Oryctolagus cuniculus: one gene and its partner. The protein of the gene in region 2 purifies or fractionates together with the protein of the main gene of each other region. This does not show direct contact. Links are inferred from orthologs where the notes say so. Each region holds a gene or a part of one and is shown on either strand. Other genes may lie near its edges.

Evidence for each region. The genes of interacting proteins can lie anywhere in the genome.
Region 1: the proteins of MAP2K2 (region 2) and KSR1 purify together in Homo sapiens (affinity purification with mass spectrometry; 4 studies listed by BioGRID and IntAct, with this or other methods). This does not show direct contact. The link is inferred for Oryctolagus cuniculus from reciprocal best matches to the Homo sapiens genes MAP2K2 and KSR1.

The regions. Positions count from the first base shown.
Region 1 is NC_091448.1:43,194,284-43,199,415, forward strand, and holds the start of KSR1 (kinase suppressor of Ras 1), read left to right. Parts: upstream 1-1,898; 5' UTR 1,899-2,212; coding exon 2,213-2,443; intron 2,444-5,132.
Region 2 is NC_091447.1:59,239,156-59,244,148, reverse strand, and holds the start of MAP2K2 (dual specificity mitogen-activated protein kinase kinase 2), read right to left. Parts: upstream 3,264-4,993; 5' UTR 3,085-3,263; coding exon 2,993-3,084; intron 1-2,992. UniProt on the Homo sapiens protein: Catalyzes the concomitant phosphorylation of a threonine and a tyrosine residue in a Thr-Glu-Tyr sequence located in MAP kinases. Activates the ERK1 and ERK2 MAP kinases.

The DNA of each region.
Region 1 (5,132 bases), on a different chromosome or scaffold from region 2:
CATGCGCTCCGGCCCCATCCTCTGACCTGTGTGACAGGGAACTAGGGACGGCTTTGTCCTGCCAGGAAGGAACAAGCTCTCCGGGTAATTCTGAAGCAAGGTCAAGTCTGCGAGCCTGATGACAGTTTCTCTTTCAGGGCAGTTATTGCTCTGCTGCAAGGGGCAGGGCGGGGTTAAGGTGGCAGTCAGAGGTGGGGGAGAATTCATAGGTCCAGTGCGGGGGTTCTGTTACAAACCCAGTGAGGACCGCGTCAGTGAGTCTTCACGGGGAGGGGCAAGGAGACCCCTTGTGTTTCAAAAAATCCCAGAGCGGGGGTTAGTTTGTAAAAGCACATTTTACAGTTATCATAATTTCCTTTCTTCTTTAAAGAACATTTATTTCTTTGAAAGGCAGAGTGATGGGGGAGATATCGCCCAACTGCTTGTTCACTCCCCAAATGGCCACATTGGCAGGGTCTCAGCCAGGAGCTCCATCCTGCCTTTAGACATGATATTTATTTTGAAATGCCAAATGACATTAACAGAAAGTGTAACGTATTTATTTATTTGAAAGGCAGAGAGAGAGAGAGACAGAGACAGAGAGATCTTCTTTCTCCTCCTTCATTCCTCAAATGCCTGCAGCAGCAGGCACAGGGCCAGGCTGAAAGCCAGAAGTCTGGAGCTCCAGCCCGGTCTCCCATGTTGGGGGCAGGGACCCAAGCTCTTGAGCCATGGCTGCTGCCTCCCAGGAAGCTGGAACTGGAAACACAGGCAGGATTCGAACCCAGGCACTCCAATATGGGACTCGTCTCAAGTGAGGTCAACCGCTGTGCTGAGCGCCTGCCCCTATAGAAGGTGTAATACAAACTGCCACCCAGTACCATTGTCTATTCTCAAGTGAGAATGTGCGTGGATCCCACCTCCTGTCCAGTCCTCACCCTGAAGAAAGCTCCATCTGTCTACACACACACACACACACACACACACACGCACACGCGCGCGCCTAAGCCTCAGCTGGGCTGAGAGATAAGAGCCACCGGCACAGGAGGACCGGACCCAAAGAGCGGCCACGCCGCCTGCCCAGTGTCACGGGCCCTCGCCGTGTGCCGCGCTCCGGCCTGGATTTTGCTCTGTGGGGATAAATGAGAGACTTGTGCCACCAAGGAGCGACAGAAAACTCCACATCCTTCCTGCTGGCGAGTCTCGCGGGTCCGGAGCTGTCGCACCTGGATGGGCGTCTGGTGTCTCGGGTTCACAGAAAGCACACGGGGTGACCCGAGGCGGTGGAGGTGGGCGCAAGCGCCACGCGCGCCGCCGCTCGACCCTCAGGACCGCTACCCCCGGCGCCAGCCATCAGCCCGCAGCCATGCGCGCCCGGACGCCCTCGCGTTCTGAGAAAGGGCCGCCGCCCAGAGTCGCATCCCGCGCCTGGCGAACCCCGACACTTATTTTGTGGGCCGCCTCCAGGAGAAAGTCCTTTCATTTTTCTCCACGCCTGAGAACTCCCAGTTCTCAGACAATTAAAAGTGCGGTGTGAGCCATTACAGAAGTACTTCAAGCCCCTTCCCACTAGATGGCGGCCCCTCAACCCACATAAACGTTCCGGAACCTCCCCTGTCCGGGAGTTCCAGGGCTCGGCTGCCGCTGAGGAACGGTGGGATGCACACCCTCCTCTCGTCCAGCGGGATACGGACCCCCTATCCGGCCTGATTCGGGAGCCGCCGGCAGCTCCTAGGCCGAGGCGGGCGGCGGGGGCGGGTGGGAAGAGGGGGCGCCCAGACCCTCAGCGCCGGGGCCAGCAGCGGCGCGGAGCAGCCCCTCCCGGGAGGATAGCCGGGGTGGGCTCTCCCGCGGCACCCCCGCTCGCCGGGAGCCCAGAGCCCGCCGCCCGGCGCGGACAGCTGGCCCCGAGGGCGCGGGCCGCGCGGCAGGTGCGCGGCGCGGACTACAAGTCCCAGCATGCCCCGCCGCCCTGACCCGGCCCCCGCCGCCGCTTAAAGGCTCCGGGAGCCGCAGCCGTCGGGTCGCCGCGGCTTTCGCTTTGCTGCGGCTGCTGGGCGGGCGGGAGGAGCGGACTCGGCGGCCGGCTCTCCCGGCGTCCGGGCTCTGGCCACGCCGAGGGGCGCGCCTCGTCCAGCCCTCCGGGCTCGGGGACTCCCTGCCGAGGCGCCCGCGCCCCCGACCCCCGCCCCGGGCTCCTCGCCTCGGCTCCCAGCGGCCCCGATGCCGAGGCATGGATAGAGCGGCGCTGAGCGCGGCGGCGATGGGCGAGGAGAAGGAGGGCGGCGGCGGGAGCGCCGCGGCGGCCGCGGATGGGGGCGCCGGGGCCGCGGCCAGCCGGGCGCTGCAGCAGTGCGGGCAGCTCCAGAAGCTCATCGACATCTCCATCGGCAGCCTGCGCGGGCTGCGCACCAAGTGTGCCGTGTCTAACGACCTCACCCAGCAGGAGATCCGGACCCTGGAGGTAAGGGGCCGCGGCGCCGGGGCGGGGGGGGGGGGGCGGTGGCCTCTACGCCTCCCTCCCGGCCCGAAGATTCTCCTGCTGGAGTTGCGTCCTTGAGCCGGGTCTCCCCGGTGGAGGCGGCCCCTCGAGGACCCAGGACCAGCCTCGCCAAGGGCGACGTTTTGGGGGCGGGGGTTGCTTAGTGTGAACCGAGATGGAGGCTCGAGGCGCCGTACGCGTGGACATCCCCGGCCTCGCCTCCACCCCATTTCTAGTTTGCGGGGCCGCAGGGCTCACGCCGGTGCAGCCACGCGCCGGGCTTTGCCTCGTGTGCTAGGCGGATCCCCCTGAAGTGTGAGCGCCGGCCCGCCCTCCTCTCCCTTCCCCTCACGTCCCAGACTCCGTCCTGTCCCTTCCTTTCTCCCCTCCTCCAGGTCTCTGTCTGCTGCCTTTCAGAACGCGTTTGCTGAGGCTGCATTTGTGCTGTTCAGTCGTTGGGTGCTTTCCTTTGGCGTTGTCACCGCGGTTCCCTGCTCCAAACGCTCGGAATTCGCGGACTCCTCCCTCCCCGCAGACACTGGATTTGGGCTTAGAACGGATTATGCTGGGGAAGGCAGCCTTGGGTGGGAAGATGACACGGTTGGAGGGGTTCCGCTGGAGGAGATGGCCTGGGGTGTAGAGGAGAAAGATACTCGGCCCCCCCACTTGCAAATGATGGCTGGGAAGTGCCCCATTAAAAGGATTTGGAGGAACCAGCGAGAGGGGTGGTTGGGTTCTCACAAGGTGGAGCTCTCGGCAACCCCGTACACAATAGAGGGAAACCAATGCAGTCCCAATTTTGTCCAGAGACTGGGAGACCTGCGAAATTCTGGGGGCCAGTTAATAGCCGCCGTGTCTTGAAGGGGGGCTTCTCAGCACCCTGCATTGCTACATCTGTCCCTCTGCAGGTCTGGGAAGTTTCATTTTATTAGTGCCCCCCCTCCTGCTAATTACCTCTGCCAGCTGTCACAGGGCCAACCGTGATTGCAGGAATTGTTACAGAGCCGATCCTCCCTCTGTGCCACCACAAGCCCGAATCCTTGTTTGATCCAGAATGCTCGGGGATGACTCTCCCTCACTCCTATTTTTCTTAAAAGCAACCAAGCTGGGGACATTGGAAGACGGCAGTCAGTGCTGGCTGTTAATTTTTTTTTTTTTTTAATTACAGTTGCTATAGCAGCGCTGACCAGGGCACACCGACAGAACCCCTACCACCGGCCTTTCTGTATGCACACTGCCGTTTTCCACAACTGATTTCTCGAACACAGCTGAGTGTGTTTGCCCAGCAAACTCGAGTTTTTCAGCCCACACAATAGGGGGCCTGTGTGGCTTAGTTCCGGGAGGAGGGGTCGCTGTGTTGTTGGGCTCAGAGAAGATTCTCTGGTGTGGCCTCTGCCGATCCTGCCCAGTGTTTGTGCAGTGCTCCTGGCTCCCAGAGTGCGTAGGCAGGAGAACCGCTCGCTGTCCTTGCTCTGGAAGTGGCCTGCGGTCCTCCAGGTCGCCTGAGCTCCAGAGCCGCTGGTTTTGAGGAAGGTGTGAAGTCTGTGCTATTGGGATGGTGTCGCTGGCAGCTGGGGCCCCGTCGCAGGAAGACCCACAGGTGACTGGCAGGGTGGGTGCACTCAGCCCCGGCTCTCTGTGCAAGCCCCTGGGCTGTGCCTTTGGTGCCCTGGCTCCCCGAAAAGGCAGGACCTGGGTCGCTTCTTAGCATGGGAATTTAGACCCCCGAGTCGGCCCCAGCTAGCTGGGGAGAGCCCTGGGGGCCTCCGCCTCCTCATCTGCAGACTGCAGCTTGGAGTGAGTCTGGGGGCTCTCCCAGCTCTGAGGTCTGTGGTTCAGTGAAGGAGATGCGGGTCGGACGTTTGTGATTGCAATTATTCGTGCTCCTGGTTTAGAACGGTTCTAAAATCCCGACTTCATGAACTGGTGAGAGCTTCGAGAGGGGAGCTGTGTGGTGAACAGAAAGCCCCCGGCTTTGAAATTGGGTCTGGTTCCGTGTGTATGGCTGTGGGCAAGTCCCGTGACCACTTATCTCTGGCCTCCCCTTCCGCCGGCGCGCACACCTGCAGCGTGTTCCGAGGCCGTGGGTCCACACGGTGACCTCTGGAAGGTCCTGCCTTGGAACTTGCCCTTGTGAGGGTCCACTGGCCTTCAGGGCACCTTTAGGGGAAGGAGCTGCTACCGCTGGCGCCGGCGCCCAGAGGTGGGTGACAAGGGCCAGAAAGCAACCCCAGCGTGCGGGGTTGGAGTGGCTCAGCCACAGCAGCCCGGCCAGCCAGCGGCTGTGTCTCCTGGGCTCTTTCCTGTTCTGTGGGCTTCTCTGGCTCGCTGGGCTGGACTCCCCAGACACTGCACTTGCAACATTAGATTCCCAGCCTGGAAAGAAGGGTCTGACTCGAGGGCTGGGCTTACACAACCGCATCAGGCTTCTGCCAGCAGCTTAGGAACCCCGGCCCATGCCGGCCCTGGTTGAGTGCGCCCTCAGTGTGAGAAGTGGCACGTGAGATGTCCCTGCCGGGGCAGGCTGTGTTGCCCACCAGCCCAGGCTATGACGGTGTCGGGGGTCAGCGTGCCTGCGTGCCCTGTGGTGGCTTTTCTCTGTAGCAGTCTGGCTTGGCTTGAAGAGCGTGGAAGGAGGGTTTCCTGTTTGCCTCCTGCCTGCCTGGCGGTG
Region 2 (4,993 bases):
AAGTGCCGGGGCGCAGGGCCTGGCTCCGGTGCCTGCGCGCGCACCCCGGGAGGCAGCGGGTGGCCCTGTCCCTGCGTGCGCGCACCCCGGGAGGCAGCGGGTGGCTCCGGTCCCTGCACGCGCACCCCGGGAGGTAGCGGGTGGCTCTGTCCCTGCGTGCGCGCCCCGGGAGGCAGCGGGTGGCTCTGTCCCTGCGTGCGCGCACCCCGGGAGGCAGCGGGTGGCCCTGTCCCTGCGCGCGCACCCGGGAGGCAGCGGGTGGCTCCGGTCCCTGCGTGCGCGCACCCCGGGAGGCAGCGGGTGGCTCCGGTCCCTGCGTGCGCGCACCCCGGGAGGCAGCGGGTGGCCCCGGTCCCTGCGCGCGCACCCCGGGAGGCAGCAGGTGGCCCCGGTCCCTGCGCGCGCACCTGGGAGGCAGCGGGTGGCTCTGTCCCTGCGTGCGCGCACCCCGGGAGGCAGCGGGTGGCCCTGTCCCTGCGCGCGCACCGCAGGAGGCAGTGGGTGGCCCCGGTCCCTGCGTGCGCGAACCCGGGAGGCAGTGGGTGGCTCCGGTCCCTGCGCGCGCACCCCGGGAAGCAGCGGGTGGCCCCGGTCCCTGCCGCCCACGCGGGAGCCCCGGATGGAGTCCCTGGCTCCTGGCTGGTGCAGTGAGCCAGCGGGTGGGGTATGTGTCTGTGTTGCTTGCTGTCTACCTCTCAAACACAAGTGCGCGCGTCACACACCGACTCCACCCCAGCCAGGACGGGCACGCGGCCGGCCAGGGAGCGGGGAGGGATGACGCAGACGGTCCCCTGGCCTAGTGACCTAGCGAGGAAAGGCGCATGCGTGCCCTTGCGCACCCCAGAACCCAACGCCTCTCCCTGGGCGCAGGTGGGGGGGGCACTAGGAGAGCCCTGGGGGACTCCAGACGGCGTGGGTGGATGGGGGAAATGGGGACCGGGCCCAGGAGCAGGGCCCGTGGAGCCTGGGCAGATCCAGGCCTCCGACGCGGGCGTGGACGCCCCGAGGGCCCGGTCCTGCGCCAGGCGGACCCTTAACCCGCGCGCCTGGCCTCCCAGACCCGGCAACCTCGCAGCCAGCCGTGGCCACTGTGGGTTAGGGGTCACTCAGGGGGTTGTCAGGGAGTCCGGGACGCGGTCCTCAGGGAATTTGCCTTTGAACCTGGCCCTGGGGCAGGAAGCAGGACGCTGCAGCCGAGGGCACCCCAGGGCCGGCCCGGGGGCTCCCGGGGAGAACGGCCGCAAGCCCCCACGCCGTCTCCTGGGGCCCACTCTTGAAAAAAGGAAAACAGGCAAAGGTAATTTTAAAAATTTTATTTGTTCATTTGAAAGGCAGAGAAAGACAGAGAGACAGAGAGACAGCTGCCCACAGCAGCCCGGCCAAAGCCCGGAGCTCCACGGGGTCTCCCACGCGGGCGGCAGGGCCAGGACCTGGGACCCCACCCCACCACCCCGCACTGCTGCCCCCAGGTGCGCGTGCGCAGGACGAGCAGGGGCCCGGGAAGCCGGGGCTGGACTCGGCACGGGCGTCCAAGCACCAGTTCCCGGCTCGGCCACAGCGCGGTTGATCAGAGCCAGCGAAAATCCGATCATTTCCAAGGGGCGAGCGACGCGGCCTCCCCCACCCCCGTGTCTGCGCCCCGCGTGCCCGCGACGCCAGAGCGCTCCCGAACTTGGAAGAGCCGCCAAGCGCCCGTGCCGCCGGTGGCTGCGGCCGCCCAGCGCGGGGCTTGGCAGGTGCCCCGGGCATAAAGGGGGTCCTCAGGCACCGCCTCCCCCACCCACGCGGGACCCCTGCTCGCGGCCGGGAGACCCGCACGCCTCCCTCCCGTCAGGCCCCCGCCCCAGGCCCCAGGAAGCAGGTGTCCCAGTGGGGCCAGGAGGCCGCGTGGGGCACCGACAAGGCCACGTTCCGTGGCAGGCAGGCGGCCACCACGGCGGCCACGTCCGGAAGACGACCCCAGGCGGAAGGGACGGGGACCAGGGCGCAGGAGACCACGCGGGAGCCGCTGCCCCCCACCTGCCCCGCCGAGCCCCGCGCGCGGCTCTGCCAGCACTGGGGCCCGGGCAGCCACGGCCGGCGTGGGGGCGGCCACAGGGCAGGGGCCCACGCCCGTCCCACTCGTTCTCCGGGGACACGCGACGCGGCCCCCCGCCCTGTGCCCGGCTGTGGCAAGGGGGTCACTCTGGTTGGACCTGCCAGGTCGGCCTCGGGGCACCCACCAGGGCCTCTCCCCAAGACCCCAAGCCTGCCCCCTGCTCCTCGGCCCCCAGACCCCCACCCCCAAATTCCCCCGCCCCTGGCCTCGGAGACCCCCCCCCCAGCCCGTCCTCAAGTCCGGGCTACCCCTCCCATTTCCCCATCCCGACCCCGCGGGGTCCCCCAAGACCTTTCCACCTGTCACCCAGGGGCCCCACCCATCTCCCCAAAGCATCCCGCCTCGCAGGGACCCCCAACGCCGTGGCTTCCCAGGGGGGCTGCCCTCGGCCTCACCGCCCGCTCAGCGCCCCCGCTGCGACCCCCGCCCTCGGGGCGCTCAAGGACTCGCACTGCGCGCTGCCCCGCAGTGCCCGCCCCTCGCCCGGACCTCACCGTCCGGGACCCCCGCCCTGCGCCCGGCGACCCCCGCCTTCGGGGGTCCCTACGCCCCCACCACTGCGCGCTGCCCCGCAGTGCCCGCCCCTCGCCCGGACCTCACCGTCCGGGACCCCCGCCCTGCGCCCCGGCGCCCCCTGCCCTCGGGGGTCCCTACGCCCCCACCACTGCGCGCTGCCCCGCAGTGCCCGCCCCTCGCCGTCCGGGACCCCCGCCCTGCGCCCCCCGCCCTCGGGGGCCCCTACGCCCCGACCACTGCGCGCTGCCCCGCAGGGCCCGCCCCTCGCCGTCCGGGACCCCCGCCCTGCGCCCCGGCGCCCCCCGCCCTCGGGGGCCCCTGCGCCCCCCCCGCCGTCCGGGACCCCCGCCCTGCGCCCGGCGCCCCCCGCCCACTCACTCGGAGGCGCCCTCGCTGGTAGGGGACGGGCCCTCGGCGACAGCGGGGTTGATGGTGAGCGCCGGCAGCACCGGCTTCCTCCGGGCCAGCATCGGGGCTCCGCGGCCGGCGGCGGCGCCTCAGCCGGGGCCCATAGGGGGGCGGGCCGGAGCGGGCGGCGCCGACGCGACCCGGCCCGGCACCGGGGGCGGCGGGGGAGGCCGACACCGAGGCGGGCGAGCGGGCAGGCGCCGCCGAGGCCCGAGCCAGGCTGACGCTGCAGCCGGAGCCCGGGGAGGCCGGCGGAGGGGCGGGCGCAGCCGCGGGATCGCGCGCCGGCCTCTCGCGAGAGTGAGCCTGGCCCCGCCCCCGCCGCGGCGCGCGCCCCGGCCCGAGCGCCCCGCCCCCGGGGCAAAGGGGCGGAGTCCGGGCGGCGGCGGCCGGCGCGTGCGCAGTGGCTCGCTTCCGCGCCGGGGCGCGGGAGTGCGCATGCGCAGAAGGCGCGACGCGCCGGGAGGCGGTGACGAGGGCAGAGGAGAGTGGACAGGTGGGCCCGGGGCCTGGGCGGCCCGCTGCGTGTCCCGGGCCGGAGCTGAGTGAGCCCGGGGAGCCCCTCATTCAGCCCAGCTCTCGGCCACCCCGTCCGGCGGAGAGAGGTCACGTGGGGGCGGATCGTGGGAGCCACTGCGCGCGGCCGTCGGGGGGAGCTGCGGGGCCGCTGCCCGGAGGGACTTCCGGTCTCAGCACCGGCAGCCCCGGGCCTCCGGAACCTCTGCTCTGCCCCGGGAGACGCCCCCTCCCCAGCCCCGCGACCCCCACCCGCCGCCGGGCCCGCAGTCCGCCCGGGAGTGGGCATCGCAGGGTCCGACCCCCGGGAGTGGGCATCGCAGGGTCCGAGCCCCGGGAGTGGGCCCTGCGGGGTCTGTCCCCCCCCGGGAGTGGGCCCTGCGGGGTCTGTGTCCCCCCCGGGAGTGGGCTCTGCGGGGTTTGTGTGTCCCCCGGGAGTGGGCATCGCAGGGTCCGACCCCCGGGAGTGGGCCCTGCGGGGTCTGTGTTCCCCCGGGAGTGGGCTCTGCGGGGTTTGTGTGTCCCCCGGGAGTGGGCATCGCAGGGTCCGACCCCCGGGAGTGGGCCCTGCGGGGTCTGTGTTCCCCCGGGAGTGGGCCCTGCGGGGTCTGTGTGCCCCCCCAGTGGTTCCTGTGGGCTCTGCCCCCCACCCCGACCCTCACCCCTAGTGGCCTCTGCCCGGCCTCCGCACAGCCCCTGCACACCAGGAGTCACTGTGGCCTTGCATTGCAGGCTGGGTGTGCTGACCGCTGGGGTGGCCGGTGTGCGAGCGCCTCCCGGGGCTCTTGCTGTGGCCTCTTGCGGGAGTGGACGCCGAGTGCCAGCTGCGCTGCCCTGCAGTTCCGAGTCGGCTCGGGCAGCAGCCGCGGGGATGGGCGGAGCGTTGGTTGGTTGGTTGGTTTGTTTTAAGATTTTTAGTTACTTGAGAGGTAGAGAGAGGGGAGGGGGAGGGGGAGAGGGAGGTCTTCCATCGCTGGGTCACTCCCCAGGGGGCTGCTCCACCCGGGCCTCCCGCGGGGGTGGCAGAGACCGTGCACTTGGGCGGACCTCCGGTGCCTGAGCCGGGAGCAGGCCGGGACCTGAACCCGCGGCGGCGGGTGCGGGTGGGCTGGCCGCCGGAGATACACTGTCTAAACAGGGTCTAAACAGGTCCAGATGCGTATACATAATTGCAAAACGAGACTCAAAGATGCAAAGCCGTAACCTCTGCCCCAGGCCAGCTCCCGCGTGGCCTTCCCGAGGGCCTGGGCTGTATGCAGGCTCCCTGCTGACCCCTGAGGGGGCCACACGGACGGCCCCTGCACCCACCTGGGCGCCCCGGACGGAGCTCCCGGCTCCTGGCTTCCGCCCGGCCCAGCCCTGGCTGTTGTAGGCATTTGGGGAGCGACCCGGCAGAAGGAAGATCTGTGTCCCGGGCCTTGGTCTTCCAGAGAAACAGAGCTGTCCAAGCTGCCG